Linked DNA regions of Macaca mulatta. The protein of the gene in region 1 purifies or fractionates together with the protein of each later gene. This does not show direct contact. Links are inferred from orthologs where the notes say so. Each region holds a gene or a part of one and is shown on either strand. Other genes may lie near its edges.

What was found.
Region 2: the proteins of RPL8 (region 1) and NCL purify together in Homo sapiens (affinity purification with mass spectrometry; 3 studies listed by BioGRID and IntAct, with this or other methods). This does not show direct contact. The link is inferred for Macaca mulatta from reciprocal best matches to the Homo sapiens genes RPL8 and NCL.

The regions. Positions count from the first base shown.
Region 1 is NC_133413.1:155,211,523-155,222,530, forward strand, and holds RPL8 (large ribosomal subunit protein uL2), read right to left. Parts: upstream 7,393-11,008; 5' UTR 7,298-7,392; intron 7,194-7,297; 5' UTR 7,183-7,193; coding exon 7,045-7,182; intron 6,963-7,044; coding exon 6,821-6,962; intron 6,537-6,820; coding exon 6,318-6,536; intron 5,533-6,317; coding exon 5,417-5,532; intron 5,204-5,416; coding exon 5,045-5,203; 3' UTR 5,010-5,044; downstream 1-5,009. Other genes in the region: uncharacterized protein LOC144330927, read right to left, coding at 7,678-8,117. UniProt on the Homo sapiens protein: Component of the large ribosomal subunit. The ribosome is a large ribonucleoprotein complex responsible for the synthesis of proteins in the cell.
Region 2 is NC_133417.1:136,716,264-136,727,228, reverse strand, and holds the start of NCL (nucleolin), read left to right. Parts: upstream 1-4,230; 5' UTR 4,231-4,371; coding exon 4,372-4,389; exon of another isoform or gene 4,390-4,582; intron 4,583-5,245; coding exon 5,246-5,362; intron 5,363-6,553; coding exon 6,554-7,034; intron 7,035-7,701; coding exon 7,702-7,899; intron 7,900-7,995; coding exon 7,996-8,082; intron 8,083-8,119; exon of another isoform or gene 8,120-8,189; intron 8,190-8,268; coding exon 8,269-8,410; intron 8,411-9,466; coding exon 9,467-9,591; intron 9,592-10,227; coding exon 10,228-10,351; intron 10,352-10,812; coding exon 10,813-10,965. UniProt on the Homo sapiens protein: Nucleolin is the major nucleolar protein of growing eukaryotic cells. It is found associated with intranucleolar chromatin and pre-ribosomal particles. It induces chromatin decondensation by binding to histone H1.

The DNA.
Region 1 (11,008 bases):
AGGTAGAAGGATCGCTTTAGAGTGAGAGATGGAGGCTGCAGTGAGCCAAGATTATGTCACTACACTCCAGCCCCAGCAAGACCCTGCCTCAAAAAAAAAAAAAAGAAAAAGGATTCTGTACAACACACCACAAAATTAAAAGTCAAGCAGACAAGCTAGAGAATGAAAGATATTTCCAAACATGTAACAAAGCATAAATATACAGAACATATTTAAAAAAATATATATATATATATATATATTTTTTTTTTTTTTTTTGAGACAGAGTCTTGCTCTGTCGCCCAGGCTGGGGTGCAGTGGCCGGATCTCAGCTCACTGCAAGCTCCGCCTCCCGGGTTAAGACCATTCTCCTGCCTCAGCCTCCCGAGTAACTGGGACTACAGGCACCCGCCACCTCACCCGGCTAGTTTTTTGTATTTTTTAGTAGAGACGGGGTTTCACCGTGTTAGCCAGGATGGTCTCGATCTCCTGACCTCGTGATCCGCCCGTCTCGGCCTCCCAAAGTGCTGGGATTACAGGCTTGAGCCACCGCGCCTGGCCTAAAAATTTTTTTAATAAGAAAAATGTCATAATTTTGAACAAATGAACACAGGATAGGACCTGGCAAACCCTGTAGTCCCAGGGGCTACTCAGCAGGCTGAGGCAGGAGGATCACCTGAACCTGGGAGTTCTGGGCTACAGTGTGCTATGCCAACTGGGTGTCCCCACTAGGTTCGGCATCAATATGGTGACATCGGAGAGCAGGGGACCACCATGTTGCCTAAGGAGGGGTGAACCAGCTCAGGTGGGAAACAGGGCAGGTCAAAACTCCCGTGCTGATCAGTAGTGGGATCACGCCTATGAGTGGCCACTGCACTCCAGCCTGGGCAACATAGTGAGAACCCCCATCTCTAATTTTTTAATTTAAAAAAAAAAAAAGTAAAGTAAAACCAGACTCTCCCCATAGATTGAGAAAATATAAAATACTTCATAAAATCAAATGTTGAGGACACCGTAAACTGGTACAGTGACTCTAGAAATATACCTGGCCCTACTTGGTAGAACTGAAACCCTGCAAAACTCTCTGTGGGGAAACCTAACTCAAAGTATGTACTCTCACTGCACTCCAGCCTGGGCCACAGAGCCAGACTCCGTCTCAAAAAAAAAAAAAAAAAAAAAGTATGTACTCTATGGAGACTTGCTAAGGCACACAAGAAAAACACAAGAATGTTACCATGTGCCTGTGTAGAAGAAAAAACTTCAGCGTCTATCGGCAAAGTCACAGTGGTGAAAACTAATGTCAAGGATATAGAGCAGTTATAAGGCTGAGAAAAACTGTCAGCTATAGAATATCCACAGTATAATACATACGTAGATTTTTTTTTTTTTTGAGACGGAGTCTCGCTCCATCGCCCGGGCTGGAGTGCAGTGGCGCGATCTCGGCTCACTGCAAGCTCTGCCTCTCCAGTTCACGCCATTCTCCTGCCTCAGCCTCCCGAGTAGCTGGGACTACAGGCGCCCGCCACCACGCCCGGTTAATTTTTTTGTATTTTTTAGTAGAGACGGGGTTTCACCGTTAGCCAGGATGGTCTCGATCTCCGGACCTCGTGATCTGCCCGCCTCCCTGCAGGCATGAGCCACCGCACTCGGACATACATATGTAGATTTTTAAGAGACAAAAACACTATTAGGTATGTAGAGATACAAGAAAACGAGACTGGGCTTAGTGGCTCACGCCTGTAATCCCAGCACTTTGGGAGGCTGGGGCCGGCGGATCACTTGAAGTCAGGAGTTCGAGACCAGCCTGGCCAACATGGTTAAACCCCATCTCTACTAAAAACACAAAAATTAGCCGGGCGTGGTGGCGAGCGCCTGTAATCCCAGCTACTCTGGAGGCTGAGACAGGAGAATCGCTTGAACCCGGGAGACGGAGGTTGCATTGAGCCGAGATCGCGCCATTGCACTCCAGCCTGGGCGACAGAGCGAGGCTCCGTCTCAGAAAAAAGAAGAGAGAGAAAGGAAAGAAAGAAAAGAAGGAAAAGAAAGAAAAAAGAAAAAGGGGAACAAAAACCTGGCTGCGGGAAGAAAAGCCTCGGAGCGCTAGAAGCGAGGAGGGTGGGGTGGAGGGAAGGCACCAGCAGAGGGAGCAGCATGGAGGAGCGCGGACGCTAAATGCAGGAGGGGCGGCATCCGCAGAGGGCTGGGAGGACCGAGAGACGCACGACCCCGCCCCTGAAAAGCTGACAGGAGAGGGGCGTGGGAGGGAGCCGGGATGAGGCCTCGGGCCGCTGGGACCTCGGGGTCTGGAGCGCATCGGGACGCAGAAGCCGCCCTGTGCGGCAGGAGTCCAGGGGGCCCCAGGTGGGGCAAGGGAGCTGTGAGGGGCTCGAGGGCGGAAGGAGCCCCATGAGGAGCGACCCTGGGGCTGGGAGAGGGCGGCGAGGCGCGTCCGTACTCAAGGCCTCGTCCCGGGTCCCTGGAACAGGCAGTGCCGCTGATGGCGGGACGGACCCAGGCCCGGAGCACCGCAAGACAACCGGGTACGGGCGCAGCGCGCAGGGAAGGGTCTGCGCCCCGCGCGCCCGCCCCCGCCGGGCTCACACTCACCTCAGCGCCGCGGAGCAGCACCGCCACCCAACCTCGCCCGTTCGGCCCTCCCGCCCCGCCAATCGGAGCCGATCCGGAAATGACGTCAGCCAACTGTCCGGGTCCGCGGTGCCGTCGGGGCCGCTCTGGGAAGCTGGGATGCCGCGTCTCGGCTGCCCACCTCCCTGGCTCGCAGTAAGGCTCCGGGGACCCGCGAATGGCAAAGCCGTAAAGCAGAACGCTGCCACCGGGTGGCAGTCCGAAGCCACGGCCCGGAGGCCTCAGAACTGGGGCGATGGTCAGAGTCGAAAACATATTAGTCTTTCCCTTTTTCTGATAAATTATCTCCCTAATGAGCCACGAAAGGTGCCACAAACTAGAAAGAACTAGGTCCTTTCCTTTACAGAGAAAGAAACGGGAACCGCACCCTTCCTTGGGGCTAAGAGAGGATGCTTACTGGCCCAAGAAGCCTGTCTTGGGTTTAACCCATGGCCCCTCATCCCTGACTCCTGTAAATGGAGCCCAGTGTCCACTCTGGAGAAAAGGTTTTCGGGTGCCTGAGCTGCTTCTGGAGCAAACTTTCCCTGACGGCCGGTCCTTCGGCCAAGCCCTGCATCCACTTTGCCCAGAAGGGAGCAGAAAAGCAGTGACCGCTCATGGCGAAGCTAAGCATCTAGTGCTTTCCCAAGACCCTCTTTCTAGATGCCCCTCCATCCTTCAGGAGGAAACACCGCCCTCCTGGATTCTTTCTCGACCAATCACCTAGGACCCTGGGACCAGCCTTGCGAATGACAGTGTATCTAAACCAGGTCCCCTAGCTACTGGCGGGGGATGGGGGTCAGGGCTGGAGTGGGAGGACCACATGAGGCCAGGGGCTTGAGAACAGCCTGGCAATAGCGAGAGCCTGTCTAAAATAAACAGGCCCTGCTGGGTCACTGCCTAGGTGTGGTGGGCGCCCAAAGACAGGTGCAGCCATGCCAGCAGGATGAGGAAAGCAAGATCATGAAATGGGGTGTAAGGTTCACTCTAGAAACAGTGTGGACCATGACAGTCAGGGGCCACCGTGCAGCCACTTAGGAATTGTCATCCCGGAGTGACCATGGAAGCCTAACGTGACCTATTCTCACCTGCCAGGTGCTCTCCAAGTCTATAGGCAGAGCACACCGTGCCTCATTCTGCCTGCTGTAGTTCCACAGGAGTGTTGTTAGGGGCAATAATCTGCAGCTGCTCCATTTGCTGGTGGAACTTCCTTGTGTGAAAGCGCTGATAGGATGCTGTCCTGGGATCTCCTCATTGTGGTTAAGGGACAAGATACCATGGGCTATGGCCAAACAGGAAGCCCCTCCACCTGCCTTGTGACGGCAATTAGCTTACTTGCCCTCCCATTGCAGAGGGGCAGTTCCCTGACACTTCCAACCTGATTCCACTCACAATCACCACCCTCAGCCTCACTTGTCACTACCAAAGCTAAAAAGAAGGAAGGTATCTGCCCCTGCCAGTAGGGAAAGGCCATGTGCTCAGAATAAGGTAATCAATGCAGCTTTGGGGGCTGTTCCTGGTTAGTTTCTCTGCAGTGTATGGGCTCTGGGTGGATGGGTGAAGGGACTCTTGAGTGCTCTGGGATCCCCATACACGCACTGCATACATTCATCCCTTTGTTCAGCAATACCAGCAGTGACCTAGGACCCCACACTCAATCACCACCTCAACCTCACCTGTCACTATCAGGCTAGAAAATGAGGTAAGGCATGAGGCTCCACCCACAGGAAAAAGCACCCAGAACCCTCCAGTCAGTGACTACTCTCCACCATGGTAGGGTGGGAATGCATACAGGGTGCTCCCAGTCATCTGCAGAACAGAATGGTAAAGGCCAGGCTAGGAATAACTTCCTGGCTGTAGACAGGGTGTCTGTCCCACGTTCCTCCAGGCCCATCCCAAGTTCTCAGTGCAAGACACCTGCAAGCCCGGTATCCCTGGCAGTGACTTTACAAAAACACACTGACATCAGCAGGACTGTACCCAGTATGGAGGGGAACGATGTAGCCATAAGACCGTGGGCAAAGGAACGCCTCAGGTGCTGAGCAAGTTAGCAGTGAGCCGGCAGAGTGAGGGTATGGTCCAGAACACCAGGCTCATGATTGTGTCCTGTTTCCTGTTCCTCAGTTTCGTTATACGTGAAATGAGTGCTTACATCCAAGCACTGCAAGCCATGGTACTGAGTCACCCACCTAAGGGTCTTGGTCCCCTCTGTGGGGAAGCAAGGGTCTTGCCCAGGGTACCTGCACCTCACTTCTAGTTGGAGACTTTTCCTTCAAGCTTCCACCACTCATTGGTGGTCTACTCCAGTAGTCTACCTTCCTCCCAGTACCAACGAGGGGGATCCCACAGAAATCCTCCCAGCAGGGACCCCTCCCTTTGAAACTATGGGGGTGGGCACAGCCTGGTGGCATAAAGACAAACTTTATTGAGGCTCTCAGCACTAGTTCTCTTTCTCCTGCACAGTCTTGGTTCCCCGGAGACGTCCAGTCCGGCGGGCAGCAATGAGACCCACTTTGCGGCCAGCAGGGGCATCTCTGCGGATGGTAGAGGGCTTGCCGATGTGCTGGTGGTTGCCACCTCCGAAAGGATGCTCCACAGGCTGTAGGCAGAGGAAGATGGCTTTAGAATGCGGGTGAGCCCACCTCCTTCAGGAGGGTTGGAGCAAGATCAACAGTCCTGTGACTACAAACCACCACCCACTGCTCCTCCCACTGCAGATGTCCCTCCTGCAGGGCCACCTGTGGATGGGACTTGCCTACTCGTGTGGCCATGGTACCTTGAATACCCAATCCTGCATTTCTGCGTTACTTACATTCATGGCCACACCCCGTACTCGTGGCCAGCAGTTCCTCTTTGCCTTATATTTGTGGTAGGCCCGGCCAGCCTTCAAGATGGGTTTGTCAATTCGGCCACCTCCAGCCACCACACCTGTAAGGGAGATCAGGTACCTCAGGGAACCTCTAGTCGGTCAGAGCACCCCCACCTCCTCCCCTCAATCTCCTGTCATGCACCTTCACAATACTACATCCAACTACCCAGCAAAAAGCCCACTCGCCTCCACCCTAGAGAGCCCCTTGCACCCTGTAGTTTCTTCAATCCACACTGGGCAGTCAAGCCAAGGCCCTCACCTCCATCACCCAGAATGCTGGCTGAGCTCCAAGCGCAGGGAAGCAACCCCCTCACCATGTTTGAGACATCCGACATGTCACTCAACCTGACACAGGACACTTGATTCAGCCTGCCCCATCTCAGCGTTGCTTATTCCAGGAATACAACCTCAGGGCCTCCCCTGTGCGAGGCTGAGTTTGTAACAAGGATTCCAAGATGTTCCCAACAGCACAGCGAGTTAACCGAGACTCAAATCCTCCTTCACTCACTCAGTAGGTGATTTTGAGAAAGTCACAAATCTCTCCCTGCCTTATCTGAAAAGGCTGTTAACCAAGTACAGCAATCAGGAAGCCCAGACTAGAATTCAAGTCCCAAGTGACTTAATCCTAATCTCATTTAACGCCACAATAGCAGTAAGGCAAGTACTATTGTGTTCATTTTACAGTGACGAAAACTGAGACTACACAATAACCTCAAACTTACAAAACCCAAATTTTGAAACAACAGGTAATTCCAGGAACCAAGTCTAGCCACTGGCTGTCCGCCGGCGCTCACAGCCTGTTCACCCAACAGCCCTCAGCATTCAACTACTGCCTGGTACTCACCAACCACAGCTCTGTTAGCTGAGGAGATAACCTTCTTGGAGCCGGAGGGCAGCTTCACACGGGTCTTCTTGGTCTCAGGGTTGTGGGAGATAACGGTGGCATAGTTCCCTGATGCCCGGGCCAGCTTGCCACGGTCTCCAGGCTTCTCCTCCAGGCAGCACACGATCGTACCCTCAGGCATGGTGCCCACAGGGAGCACATTACCAATGTTGAGCTGGGCTGCAAGGGGAAGCAGCATCAGGCCGTCAGCGCGGTAAGAGGTAATGCGACCCCACTCGCTCTAAGCAGCCCGTGAAGTTGCGAGCACAGCATTCAACATCCAGCCTCCCGGTGCAGCTCTCTGAGTACCCACCGGTGCCCACCGTAGCCACTGGCCTGGCCACGCGGTGGCCCACCCCAACTTTCTGCCTGCGAGGTTCCCACACCGGTTTAAGACGTTAACTCCTCAGACAACACCCAGACCTCTCCCCACCCCGACCTTCCTTCCCCGCCGCGATGCTAACCCTTCTTGCCGCAATACACAAACTGTCCCGTGTGAATGCCCTCGGCGGCAATGAACAGCTCCGTCCGCTTCTTAAACCGGTACGGATCCCGGAAGACCACCTTGGCGAGCGGCGCGCCGCGGCCCGGGTCGTGGATGATGTCCTGCGGGCAGGGGCGGCGTAAGTGCGGCGTTCCGGCCGGGAGTCCCGTCCCCTCCCGCCCCGCCCTGGCCAGCGTTCCGCACCTTCACGATGCCCTTGATGTAGCCGTGCCGCTCGGCGAAATCCACGGCGCGCAGGCGCGCAGCGCCCTTACGGTGCTTCACGTGCGCGCGAAACACAGACCCGGCGCCCTTCCTCTGTCCACGGATCACACGGCCCATGGCGATGGGTCCTGGGGGCGACTCACGGTTAGCGCGTCCGGGCGGCCCGGGCACCCCCGCCAGCCCGGCTTTCCGGGACCCCGCCTCCAAGGCCGCCGCGCGCACCACCCCCTACCCTCTCCGCGGGCGTCCGCACCGCCATCCTCTCAGGAGGGCCGGCCCGCGTCTCAGCGCGCCTCAAGGAGGAGGATGGCGGCGGATACTGCCCATGCCGCAGCGCCGCATGCACGACCTACCAGCTCACTAGCGCGGCCGAAAGAGGAAACGCGGTGTGCGCGAGCCGCCTTATCTTCCGGGGCGGGGCCCAGGGCCGCGACACCTTCCGGGCGCGCCACGGCCAGTCCAGCGCGGTGCACGCCGGGGCTTGTAGTCACCAGTGGCCGCCGGCCCTGCCTACTTTTCCGCCGCTGGGGCCCCCGCGCAGGCGCACCGGGAGACGCGGCGCGCGAGGTCCTGCTGGCGCCGGCTCTGAAGGAGCGAAAGAGTGCTCGGCTTTCACCGGGGTCTCCGGGAGGGCAAGTGTTCTCTGAGTGGTCGAGGAGGCGCCGAGTGGTTGAGTGAACTGTGCAGGGCGTCACAGATCGACCCACTCCGGGCCACGGGGTCTGGGGCTCCCGGCTTTGCCTGGTGAGGGGCTTCCGTGTAGGCGGAGGGGTTCTCGCTGATGCAGAGCAGGAGATGGGCAGGGGAGACGCTTGTACCCCCTCGTGGAACGTCGTGGTTTGCAGGTGGCAGATGACCGTCTCCCTGATGGACGGGCGCTGCTGGACGCGGGGACCTTGTCCACTGTAGGCCCTTGGAGAGGTCGGGCGTCGAGGAGAGGAGCCCGGGGATCCTTGCCGAGGGTGAGGGCCGGCCGGCCCAGGAAGTGGGGAGGGCCAAGCTGGAGGGTCCCGGGGCGAGGAAGAAGGAGCGGGGATGGGCTGGGTCACATGCTGCGGGGAGAACGAATAATAGGAGACTGGACCGTACCCTGACCAAATTCTGTGCGGGAGAGGTGGGTGGGGAAGGAGCAAGAAATGGAAACTGGGAGGGGCAGTGGGGGCCTGAGCTGGAAAGAGTCAGCCCGACTGGGGGTGTCCAGCGGCACATGCTGGGGAGAGGGGCTTCGCGAAATCGGGTCCCTAAGGGGTGGGACCCCGAGGCTGGGGGCGGCGGGTGGTGGGGAAGAGGTTTTTCAGGAGAGAGCCCCTGGCTGAGTGAGCACTGTCGGAGCACAGGCGAAGCCGTGGATGAGGAGGCAGCAAGGAGGTGAAGGCAGGGGTCCCAGTGGGTGGGAGAGGCTTGCAGTCAGGACTGGGAGGTGGGGTATTTCCTAGACCCTGTAGGGGCTCTGGCATCGTGAGAAAGAGAAAGGTTGACATCGTGAGAAAGAGACAGGAGAGGGTGGAAGGGGTGTCCTGTGGCCGCTGCTGCTCATAGGGGAGAGAAGGGGCTGCTGAAGGAGGCCCTCCCCTAGGGTTGGCAGGGGGATCGAGGAGGAGCTGCCGGGTGGGGACCCAGGAAGCAGCCCAGCCCACAGCAGGGCCAGGGGCTGAGGGGCAGGACTGGACCCCAGGGGCAGGGTGAGGAGTTCTGGGATCAACCCAAAATTGGCCCACAGGCCCAGCGTGTCCCTCACTCCTGAGCAAATCTGCTTCTCTGCAGGAGCAGAAGGAGAGTTGGGTGCGGGATAGAGGTGAGAAGAGTGCTTGGACACACAGGCTGTGGGGTTCCCCAAGATGGTCTCACGGGTCTCTGGGATGAGATGCGGCTACCAAGATCCTAGGTGCAGCCAGGAGGCTGACCAGGCCGCTTTAATGCTCGAAGAGACATGGCCCTGCCAGCATCCACCCGACAGTCCTGAGGACTACATGACTAGGCTCAGTCTTGACCTGGCACACAGCAGTGGCTGTGCAGTTCTAGGTCACTTGACAGCCACTCCAGGTGAGGCCGCAAGCACTGGACATGAGGTTTTCCAGCCTTCTGGGGTGGAGCCATCTTTCTTGGGGCCAGGATTAGGCTCTCCCCACACAGCACCTCTGCTTGTGCTACCGACGTCACCCCTAACCTGCTTTTCAAACTTTATTCTTAGAAATTATTTATTTCCAGCCAGGTGTGGTGGCTCATGCCTGTAATCCCAGCACCTTGGGAGACCGAGGCGGGAGGATCACCTGAGGTCAGGAGTTCGAGACCAGCCTGATCAACATGGAGAAACCCCGTCTATACTAAAAATACAAAAGTTAGCTGGGCATGGTGGCAGGCACCTGTAATCCCAGCTACTCAGGAGACTGAGGCAGGAGAATCACTTCAACCCAGGAGGTGGAGGTTGTGGTGAGCCGAGATTGTGCCATTGCACTCCAGCTTGGGAAACAAGAGCAAAACTCCGCCTCAAAAAAAAAAACATTTTCCTTTTGAAATTGTTCTTCAAATGTTTCTTGTCACATACATGCAGGAGTAATTAGGTATAAACATGAGAAATTGTGATGCTCTGTCTTGCTCAGCTTGGCTCCTCTCCCCCACCAGGATTATCTGCCTGCACCCCCAATCCCCCACAACAGATGTGTCCTTATCTCCCTGCCCCCCCACCGCACCCCCGTAGCATAATTGTATCCCACATATGGGCACACCATCACATATGGCTAAAATGGGATCACTCCGTAATAAAAGGAATATATATATATATATATATATATATATATTTTTTTTTTTCTTTTTTTTGAGATGGAGTCTCACTCTTGTTGCCCAGGCTGGAGTGCAATGGTGTGATCTGGGCTCTCTGCAACCTCCGCCTCCCAGGTTCAAGCAATTCTTCTGTCTCAGCCTCCCGAATAGCTGGGACTATAGGTGCACACCACCACGCCCAGCTGATTTTTGTATTTTTTTAGTAGAGATGGGGTTTCACCATATTGGTCAGGCTGGTCTTGAACTCCTGACCTTAGGTGATGCACCTGCCTTGGTCTCCCAAAGTGCTGGGATTACAGGCGTGAGCCACCACACCTGGCCAATACAGGGTACTTTTTACGGGCCAGGGACTGATCTAAGTACTTTTCATGCACACTGCTTTTTTTCTGAGAGGGCGTCTCACTCTGTCACTCAGGCTGAAGTGCAGTGGCGCTATCTCAGCTCACTGCAACCTCTGCCCTCTTTGAGTTCAAGCGATTTTCCTGCCTCAGCCTCCCAAGTAGCTGAGATTACAGGCACCTGCCACCGTGTCCAGCTAATTTTTTGTATTTTTAGTAGAGATGGGGTTTCACCATCTTGGCCAGGCTGGTCTTGAACTCCTGATCTCATGATTCACCCATCTTGGCCTCCCAAAGTGCTGGGATTACAGGCATAAGCCACCGCACCCGGCCTTATGCACACTGCTTTTCTAATTTAGTGTCTTACAATTCTGGAGCTATGTCTTGTGAAAACGTATTTCCAATAAGGTTCTCTGAGATAGTTTTCCCATGTGCTTTCAGTGCCTCAGGGGTGGGATTGCCCATAGGAGCCCGTTACCCATTCAGGAGTGGGTGAGGGGAGACCCCAGGGACCAATGCCAACAGGAAGAGGTGGGGTGGTTGGGAGGATGGAGATTGCACATGCTTGGGGACATCTTGAAGGTGCAGGTTAAAATTTTTCCGAGAGGGGTTAAGGTAGTGTATTGTGAAGCAACGGGTTAGTGAGTGCTAAATCTCCATGACCCCTGCCGTCTATATGGCTTGGATGCATCATGTCAACCTGACATAAAGCTGTGAGTGAACATTCTCTAGGACCCCACATGTGTGATTAAATAGTTGGAAGTTTTGGCATCCTTTTACAATGAGAGAATAGCACAGGATTTACATAGAATTTTCAGATATCC
Region 2 (10,965 bases), on another chromosome or scaffold:
TCTCTCCAGCAGGGCCCAACCTCCTGGATGGAGAGGCCTGGTAGGTGCAGCAGGGAAGTTGGAATGGTGATGATCTGGGGCCATAACAGCCTCCTCCAGCGGACTCAGGGGCCTGCGGTTGTTGGCGAGGGGCTGACTCTACCAGTGGGTGAACAGGTGAAGCTTCTCGGGTTGCCTCAGGAAGACAAGATTGGGTTCTCTGGCTCTGGCCCCTGGGACCCCAAGGCACAGGTACCTCCTGCAGGGGAAGACTTGCTAACACACCAAGCAAGGCCTGGCAAGGGAGGAAGAACTTAGGTTCCCCCTTTGACATCTGGGGGAAAGTGCTGGGGAAGTTCTGGGCAGTATCCAAAGGCCTCAGCGAACCCAAAAGACAGAAGGAGGCTGGGCTGGTAAAAGGAACTTCACAGCAGACACCCCAGGCCTCCGCACTCAGGCAGACCTGAAGCTCTGGAAGCTGAGGCTGTGAACTCCCTCCCGGCCAGCTGGGGTGTCCAGCCCTGCCCTGCTCGGCCTCCATGGCAGGGACTCACCCTGCAGGCTTTGTGAGCTGGATGCTGGCTGGGTCAGGCCAGCCTCACCTGCAACTCAGGGGGAGAAGCAGGGGAGACACAGGATGACCCCACCTCCTGACCTTCTGAAGCTTCCCTGGCATCAGCCCGGGCCCTTATAGCCTTCAGTGGAAGAGCCTGGAGTAGAGGGCAGCCGCTTCCTGCTCAGTACCCTCAACTTCTCAGCACTTCTATCCCTCATGTCACCACGTCCCTGCGCTAAGCTCCCCCTTTTTAAAATACCCAATGTGATTCTTCTTGGCTAGCTGGAGCCTAACCGAGACACTTAGTTCCTAGAAGCCCAGTCCTGGGAAGTGGAGGTAATCCTTGGAAGCCTGCAGACCCCCTCCAGTGGGCTGTCAGACTCTAGCACAAGTATGAGGCCCACTATGGCCAAATGGGTCTCAGGGGCCAGAAGTACCCATGGGTGCCCCAAGTGGGTGCCTCACTACACAGGTATCGTGGGGAGCAGCCAGGCCACAGCAGCAGGCAGAGTTGGGCTGGGTCCATGCAGGCCTGAAGAAGCAGCCAGTAGCCACTCAAGGCAGTGGTACCCCTGGAGCATCTGGGTTGGTATGTGAGACTAGTCACACTCCCCACAAGAATTACAGCCATGCTCAAACCTCTCCCCACCATCTAGTTCCTCCTCTGCTAAAACGTGGAGCACTGTCTCCCAGCCTTGGAGCTCAGGGGCAACAGATAACCTGAGCTGGCTGGAGGAGGTGGTATCGCTCTTGGCTGGAACCGCCATGGAAAACCCCAACCAAAGACAGCACTTGGGAGAACATCTATGAAAATGTAAAAGACCATACCCTTGACCCAGCTGTTCTACAGATATGATTTGTGTAAAATAAAGCAAGTGAGGATATTTGCTATAGCAGTTTGTAATGGCCAAACATAGCAAACAACCCTAAATGTCCAGCAATGGTGACTAGATAAATTGTGATCCTTCCACACAAGGAACGCCATGTAGCTATTAAAAAGAATGAGGCAGCTCTACATGTGCTGATGTAGGATGAGTTACAAGACACATATAGTTAACACAAAATAAGGAGAGTTCAGAACAGTGTATATGATAGCGTTTGTATTAAATATAATAAATAGACTTGTCTATTTGCACATACAACTGAATCTGGAAGGACATACAAGAGACTGGCACTGCCTTGAGACTGGGAGGCCTAGGGGACAGGGAGGGGAGGGAGACTTTTTACTGTGCATCTGTTTGAATCTTTTGAATTTTGCACTATGTGTGTACTTTACAATTCAATAAATAACTCGTGTTTTCAAAACAAAACAAAACAAAAAAGCATTTAGAAACAAACAGGCCAGGCCGGGTGCGGTGGCTCAAGCCTGTAATCCCAGCACTTTGGGAGGCCGAGACGGGCGGATCACGAGGTCAGGAGATCGAGACCATCCTGGCTAACACGGAGAAACCCCGTCTCTACTAAAAAATACAAAAAACTAGCCAGGCGAGGCGGCGGGCGCCTGTAGTCCCAGCTACTCGGGAGGCTGAGGCAGGAGAATGGCGCAAACCCGGGAGGCGGAGCTTGCAGTGAGCTGAGATCCAGCCACTGCACTCCAGCCTGGGCGACAGAGCCAGACTCCGTCTCAAAAAAAAAAAAAAAAAAAAACAAACAGGCCAGACGTGGCTCACATCTATAATCCCAGTGCTTTGAGAGGCTGAGGCGGGAGGATTGATAAAACTGGGGATGTCAAGGCTGCAGTGAGCCATGATCCTGCCACTGCCCTCTAGCCTGAGTGACAGAGTAAGATTCTGTCTCAAAAAAAAAAAAAAAGAAAAGAAACTGGGATGACACAGCAGTGTCTTCACTTATATCCTACACCTCCACTGCTAGCTATGTGACCCTGGCCAAGTTAATTTACCTCTATGCCCCAGTTTCTATAAAACAGTGATAACTTTTTGGAAAGGTTATTTTGAAGAGTAAGTGAATGAATATATGAAGAGCGCCTGGCACTGAATCAGCATTATAAAGTGTTAGATATTGCTATTTTGCTGCCCCAGACTAACTCCAAAGCAACGCCACTTGAGCCATGCCAGCTCTCCCTGCTGCTGCTTCTACCTAAATACTTCCTCATTTAACAAATAATTTTCATTTCTTTCTTTTTTTTTTTGAGATGGGGTTTTGCTCTTGTTGCCCAGGCTGGAGTGCAATGGCGCCATCTCGGTTCACTGCAACCTCCGCCTCCTGGGCTCAAGCGATCCTCCCACCTCAGCCTCCCGAGTAGCCGGGGGCTCCAGGCGAGTGCCACTACACCCGCTAATTATTATTTTTTTTGTAGAGACAGGGTCGCATTATATTACCCAGGCCAGTCTCAAGTTCCTGGACTCAAGCGATCCTCCTGCATCAGCCTCCCAAAGTACTGGGATTACAGGCATAAGCCATCGCGCCTGGCCTTAACAAACACTTTTCTTTCTTTCTGAGACGGAGTCTCGCTCTGTCGCCCAGGCTGGAGTGCAGTGGCGCGATGTCGGCTCACTGCAATCCCCGACTCCCCGGTTCATGCGCCTCGGTCTCCCAAAGTGCTGGGACTGCGGGCCTGAGCCACCGCGCCCCGCCTGAGGTGATTTTTAACAAGTACCGCCGTAGCTGCAGGTATCCTGGTTCTGTAGGAACAATGAGGTATGGATGGATCCATACCTGGACCCATGGATTGGATGGATCCCAGGCAGGCCCTGGACGGAGGGAAATGCTCTGGTTTGCTAAGCCCGGCATCGAGGGAGGCCCACCCTCAAAGCTAACCGTGGAAGTCACTCCGGCCTCCTTCGCCCTGCCGCCGGGGAACCCTGCCGGTGGCTCTCGACCTGCTCCCGAGCCATCTGGTGACACTGACTTAGCAGCCACCACCTTAATTGGCGCATTCGACGCAAATAACAACCAGGGAACCTGTGGGCGGTCAAAGGCCCGGCTTTGCGGTCGGCCCGCCCAGGCCCCTCTCCTTGCCCTGTGAGGCCAGAAAGTTACTTCTCCGAGGCCGTTCCCCATGACGAGAAATATCTCCCGCCTGAGGTTCTGTGGGGTAGGGGAGGTTCGTGCATTTCTCACAGAAAAACCTCGCACAGACCCGCGACTGCCTTTAACGGCTCTCAGAAGACTGCCTGCAGCCGGGGGTGTCTCCAGTCCCATGCTCGCGGGCAAGCAGGGCTGAGCTGTGCCTCCGAAAGGGCCAACGGGAACTCCGCGGTCCCTGAACTTCCGGGGCTGGCGGGCTTCTTTCTCCAGGGCCACCGGGAGCGCCGGCGTGAGTGCGTGCCGGGGCCGCGCGCGGGGTCTTTGAGGAACTCCAAGGCTGCCCGAGCCTAGGGAGCCAGCCACATTGGAGATCCCTAGACCGCCCGATTCCACCACCCCCGAAGTCCCCTCACAGCCGGCGCCAAAAACGCCAGTCCCACGGCGCAGGCCGGGACCCGCGCGCCCACGGCCCAATCAGCGCCGGCCTTGCACAAAGCGAGCCCCGCCCCGACGGCACGGCTGCCAGCCCCTCCCCCTCCCGTGGCCGCCTCGGCCCGCCCACTCCCCGCCCCGCGCCGTTCTCGGTTAGAGGCTCGCGATTGGCTCAGGGGGACTGCCGCGAGCTCTGGTTGGTCGGCACGGAGTCACGAGGGCGCCGTCGTCGCCTTTCCACAGGCGATTACTGGGCAGGCTCAGTCTTTCGCCTCAGTCTCGAGCTCTCGCTGGCCTTCGAGTGTACGTGCTCCGGGATCTTCAGCACCCGCGGCCGCCATCGCCGTCGCTTGCCTTCCTCTGGACTCATCTGCGCCACTTCTCCGCTCCACACTCCGCCGCCATAAGCCGCCATCATGGTGAAGCTCGCGAAGGTAAACGGCCTTGAGCGCGAGCGCAGACGTCTAGGCCTGCTCTCCGAGGGGCGAGCGCGGCGGCGCGGGGAGGAGGGCCTGCGCGCAGTCCCGGGCGCGTTCTAGGGCGCCATGCTGCGGGAAGTCTCGCGCGATTAGTGGGGAGGTCTCGCGGCTTCTGGCTAGTTGGTGGCGAGGTGAAGAGCTTCTGCAGGTGCTGGGGGCGGCGAACGCGGCGGGAAAGACGGAGTCACTGAGCGCGGGGAGGGGGCGCTGGGCCCCGGGGTGGGGAGATGAGACCAAACTCCTGCGACGCATACGAGTCGGGACCCGACTCCTGACGCACGTGCCCGGGAGCGCGGCCTGCCACGTGGGCCGCGCCGCGTAGGTCCTGGAATCTCCAGAGGCACCGGTGCCTTGCGCCAGGAAATGGCGGTATCGGCCCTAGTCGGAGTCCTGGCCTGGCAAGCCGACACGTGGTGGGCCCCGGAAGGTGGCTCTGCCGCGTGCCTTTTGCGCCGTGTTTCGGGCACGTGGTGGCCTACCAGGTACCCCCACGTGGCCGCGCCGCCTCTTTAAGGGGCGGGGTTGTCTTGCTGGGAAAAGCATAATGTTCATGAGAAAACCAAGGTAGTTACTTCTTACCTTCGGGCGGGTTTTCTGTTTGTGAAGCCCGGGAGGAAAATTGTGGGCGGTTGAGAGTAGTCCATCTTGCATTGCCATCAGGACTCGTTTTGATGTTGTGCTGTTTGGCACTATGAGAAATGGATCTGAGAAAGGAGAGATGATGGCGTTTTACTATGAACAGTAATGGCAAAATATGAATGGCCTGAAATGTTGAGGTGGAGGTGTAATGACCTACTTGTGTCCATTTTAGGCAGGTAAAAATCAAGGTGACCCCAAGAAAATGGCTCCTCCTCCAAAGGAGGTAGAAGAAGATAGTGAAGATGAAGAAATGTCAGAAGATGAAGAAGATGATAGCAGTGGAGAAGAGGTAATTTTATCTAGCTTAATGCAGAATTGTGTTAAAACTACAACAATGGAGAGTTAAGACATGAAATTGGATGTCTGTGGCTAAAATAAGATTTTATTCATCCAGGTATGTCCTATTGTAGTGGTGGTTTCACAAGCTCTTCACTGACATGTCAAGGTGTCATTTGGCTAAGTATTTGAATGTGAGTTTGAGACAAGAGGTCTGGGGATCTCCTTTCCATGTGCCTCTGCAGGGCAAGGAGTGTGATTTGTTGTGTTAAATCATTAAATTTTTCCAGTTTCAACATGTTAGCCTCACCCCGACATGTAGAGCTGGGCATTGTATTCAGATCTGAGGATAACCTTCCCAGATTCCTTTCCTAGCCTCCAATTAAGATTAATTGGTCTCCATTCCATTATATATAAACTTTGTAATTCTACTCACTGCGTTATAGTTATCTTTGGTGTAGACTGAGGGCTGCCACCTCTTTGTGTTAACATTGACCCTCTTTACTCTTTGGCAGTCTTGGCCTTTTATTTGCTCACTGTAAAGACATCTGAGCACTGAATTGTGCTCAGGTTTTTCGTTGAGAATTGAATAAAAGTTTTATTCTTCCACACATTGCCTAATAAAACTATGGGATTTTCATGTAGCTAAACGATGGCTTTTATCAAACTAACATGCTCACTCTTTGATGTGTGATAGTTTTGTAAGGGATAGTTAGGTTTAGCCTATTTGATCTTCATTTTATCTCAGGTCCCAAGAATTGAGCTTCACTGGACTCAGTACTGCCATCCACCATAGGAGCCCCAAATGATTTAATACGTTAATGCTTGGAGCCTCCTAGGTGTAAGGTTCTGAATAATTTACGCATAGCACTTCATTATTGTTATACGTGTAATATGATACTATTACCATTTTCAGATGAGAAAGTTGGGGTTTGGGAAAATATGAGGTGCAAGAATTCAGAGGTCTGGTTCAGAGGTATTTTAAGTGTTCAAAAGGGTTCCTTATGGCTGGGTATTCACCTGATAATAAGGGCTCTGACCTAAGACAACATAACAGAAGCCTGGAGTTTAACATGCTAACATGTGTCTAGCGCATGTGGTCTTGAACCAGAAGCATTGGCAGAATCTAACACTCACTGGGACCATGGTTATCTTTTTGGGTGTGGGGCTGGACTTACTGGTTTGGTTTTCATTTATTCTCAAGGTTGTCATACCTCAGAAGAAAGGCAAGAAGGCTGCTGCAACCTCAGCAAAGAAGGTGGTAGTTTCCCCAACAAAAAAGGTTGCAGTTGCCACACCAGCCAAGAAAGCAGCTGTCACTCCAGGCAAAAAGGCAGCAGCAACACCTGCCAAGAAGACAGTTACACCAGCCAAAGCAGTTGCCACACCTGGCAAGAAGGGAGCCACACCAGGCAAAGCATTGGTAGCAACCCCTGGTAAGAAGGGTGCTGCCATCCCAGCCAAGGGGGCAAAGAATGGTAAGAATGCCAAGAAGGAAGACAGTGATGAAGAGGAGGAGGATGACAGTGAGGAAGATGATGAGGATGATGAGGACGAAGATGAGGATGAAGATGAAATTGAACCAGCAGTGATGAAAGCAGCAGCTGCTGCCCCTGCCTCAGAGGATGAGGATGATGAGGATGATGAAGATGATGAGGATGAGGATGATGACGATGAGGAAGATGGTAAGGAGTTGTCTTGGTAGTTACTGGGCTTCTGATTGCAAGATATCTTGAGATTCTGGGATCAACATATTCCACAACAACCTGGAGATGAGAGTAGAGTCCTTGTGGGAATTCTCTGGGCTGTTGTGTGTTAGACTTAATTACCCATGAATGATTTTTGTCCCTCCTGAGAAAATTTCAACAGCACATTCTGTGAGTGTTTTTCATAATGTAGGATTTTGTTTCTTAGTGATCTTTTTTGTTTTGTTTTTGTTTTTTAATTTTTTTGACATGGGAGTTTTTGCTGTTTCCTAGGCTGGAGTGCAGTGGCGCGCTATCTCAGCTCACTGCAACCTCCATCTCCAGGGTTCAAGCAGTTCTGCCTCAGCCTCCCAAGTAGCTGTGATTACAGGCGACCACCACTATGCCCTACTAATTTTTGTATTTTTAGTAGAAACGAGGTTTCACCATGTTGGCCAGGCTGGTCTCGAACTCTTGACCTCAGGTGATCCACCCACCTTGGCCTCCCAAAGTGCTAGGATTACAGGCGTGAGCCACTGTTCCTGGCCCCAAGTAATCTCTTCTTGCCATGACTATTAACTAAACATGGTGACAGGATTGCATTAGATTTTAAAACCGATGTTGGTTTTGGGAGATTGCTGCAATTTTTAGGTGGCTTATCTTTCAGACTCTGAAGAAGAAGCTATGGAGACTACACCAGCCAAAGGAAAGAAAGCTGCAAAAGTTGTTCCTGTGAAAGCCAAGAACGTGGCTGAGGATGAAGATGAAGAAGAGGATGATGAGGACGAGGATGATGACGACGATGAAGATGATGAGGATGAAGATGATGATGATGAAGATGAGGAGGAAGAAGAGGAGGAGGAAGGTAATTAGATTCTGACATACATTGACATGAGTTGTTTAAAGGAGGCACTTAAGTGTTTGTGGCTATTGATGGGTAATACATTGACATCTTGTCCAGAGCCTGTCAAAGAAGCACCTGGAAAACGAAAGAAGGAAATGGCCAAACAGAAAGCAGCTCCTGAAGCCAAGAAACAGAAAGTGGAAGGTAACTTGCAGAATTAGGGGATGTGGGGGAGATAAACAGCACAAATGATGAATGACAAAGGGACTTAATACTGAAACATGATGTTACATTGCAGTGTGCTGATGTGCTGTGTATAGAAATTTTGCTTTGGAAACTAACTTTTTACCACACTTCACAAGTAGACTGAGTTCAGCTTTTTTTGTATAGGCACAGAACCGACTACGGCTTTCAATCTCTTTGTTGGAAACCTAAACTTTAACAAATCTGCTCCTGAGTTAAAAACTGGTATCAGCGATGTTTTTGCTAAAAATGATCTTGCTGTTGTGGATGTCAGAATTGGTATGACTAGGTAAGTGCTTCATGCACATTACATACACATGGGTCTGTTAATACTTTTCCTTCCCTTATTAGCACAGTTACTTTAGCCTGCCACTCCTAAACATGAATAGTGTAAACATTTTCAAGGATTAGCATTAGTGAACTAAGTTACAATTAAACTATAGAGTCCCTGGATTGCAATTTCCAGTCAGTTGTAACTTGGTATAGCACAGAATAATCTTAGTAAGTTTTTTTGTCTTTTTTGTTTTGTTTTGTTTTTTATTGAGACGGACTCTGGCTTTCGCTCAGGCTGCAGTACAGTGGCGCAATCTTGGCTCACTGCAACCTCTGCCTCCCGGGTTCAAATGATTCTCCTTCCTAAGCCCCCTGAGTAGCTGGGATTACAGGTGCACGTCACCACGCCTGGCGAATGTTTGTATTTTTAGTTGAGACAGGGTTTCACCATGTTGGCCAGGCTGGTTTCGAACTCCTGACCTCAAGTGATCCACCCAGCTTGGCCTCTCGAAGTGCTGGGATTACAGGCGTGAGCCACTGTGCCCAGCCTAAATTGGGGTCTTGAGGCACCAGTGTTGGTGTTAGGCAGGAGAATCGCTTGAACCTGGGTGACGGAGGTTGCAGTGAGCCAAGTTCGCACCACTGTACTCCGCCTGGGCAACAGATCGAGACTCTGTCTCAGTTTAAAATAATAATAATTTGATGTTTATTTTCTTGGAAGTACCTGAAACTATTAGACCTGACTAGTCATCATAGTGAATGCTTTTATCCAGGCAGGATTCTCCTGTATTAGTGCTTACAGGTGTTCTTTTGTCAGCTGCTACTGTGAATTGTTATAAGCAATTTAGCTAATGATGATGACCTCAAACGTGAATGTGCACATCATATCTCCGTACTGAGACCTTATTCTGTAGCTACAATTTGCAGAGCCTTGACTTTGTTTTGCTAATATTAGGGGTGCTTTTTAAAATGTGATCTTTGTTTGCATCATCACATTTGTCTAGAATACATATTGTGGATTTCAGTTTGTGTTTTCATCTGTTGTAATTTTGCCCTTCTCTCCACCTTGAAGGAAATTTGGTTATGTGGATTTTGAATCTGCTGAAGACCTGGAGAAAGCCTTGGAACTCACTGGTTTGAAAGTCTTTGGCAATGAAATTAAACTAGAGAAACCAAAAGGAAAAGACAGTAAGAAGGGTATGTAAGGCTTTAGGAGATTATGCAATAAATTCAGGAGCTAGACTGCTAGGGAAAATGCTTTGTAACCCATTTCCCTTGGTTTCCTCTCTTTAAATTTTTTTTTCCCCTTGGTTTCCTCTTAATGTGGGAATTAAATGAGCTGGTGTTTACAAGAGTACTTGGCACTGCTTGCTAGTGTTACAGTGTAAATTCTTGAGTTAGGCAAGCAAGAGCACTTTTATACAGAACACGAATTATTAGATGCACCTAAATTAATGTAAAGGGGTCTTCACTGAAACTAGATTAGGTCCCTAATTACTGTTTGCATCCTTTACTTTATTTCTCTATGTACAGTTGTAATGTTGTAATGTTTTAAATTGGTACGTTCACCTTTTTTGTTTCTAAAAATAATATGCATCTACTCCAGGTTGAACTCTAGTGTACCCAGCGGATAGTTTGACATCAGCTGTGACAACATGGAGGGACCACTTGTGTGTTGACACTGCTATATCTCCAAGGCACAGAGCCTTGTACATTATAGGATCTCAAATTATTTGTTGAATAGAGCTATGTCTTTTTTTTCCCCCTCTTTGTTGTTGCCCCCCACCTTTGGTTTTTCAGGCCATGGAGCTCATTTTTGTTTTTTTAATCTAGAGCGAGATGCGAGAACGCTTTTGGCTAAAAATCTCCCTTACAAAGTTACTCAGGATGAATTGAAAGAAGTGTTTGAAGATGCTGCGGAGATCAGATTAGTCAGCAAGGATGGGAAAAGTAAAGGGTATGTTCTGTCTATTGAAATGTAAGGGTTTTCTTAACATGAATACACATTCCTGCTTTATAAAAGAAATGTTGGTTTGATTTTCTTAGGTGTGTAATTTTGGGCAGTTTAACCTGTAAATTTGTGCCTCAATTACCCATCTGTACCATGGGGATAACGTACTCATAGGGTGATTTTAAAAGACAAGGTAATACATATAAAGGAGCAAGAAATGTGCCTAGCTTACAACAAATATTTTGTGAGTAGTAGTTCAGTGAGGTGAGGTTACTGTGAAAAAATTTTGAGTATTTGTAAAACTGTAGTGGGAAGTAAGAGGGAAGCTCAAGTTTGATTGAAAAGTAGCATAAAACTAAGGGCATTTATTGTATTCAGATCTGAAGCAAGTTCTGTGTTGCTGAGGTATAAAAGCATTTGTGTTAATGTGATTTTAAAAACCATGAGTTCTTCTCCCTCCATTGCAGGATTGCTTATATTGAATTTAAGACAGAAGCTGATGCAGAGAAAACCTTTGAGGAAAAGCAGGGAACAGAGATTGATGGGCGATCTATTTCCCTGTACTATACCGGAGAGAAAGGTCAAAATCAAGACTATAGAGGTGGAAAGAATAGCACTTG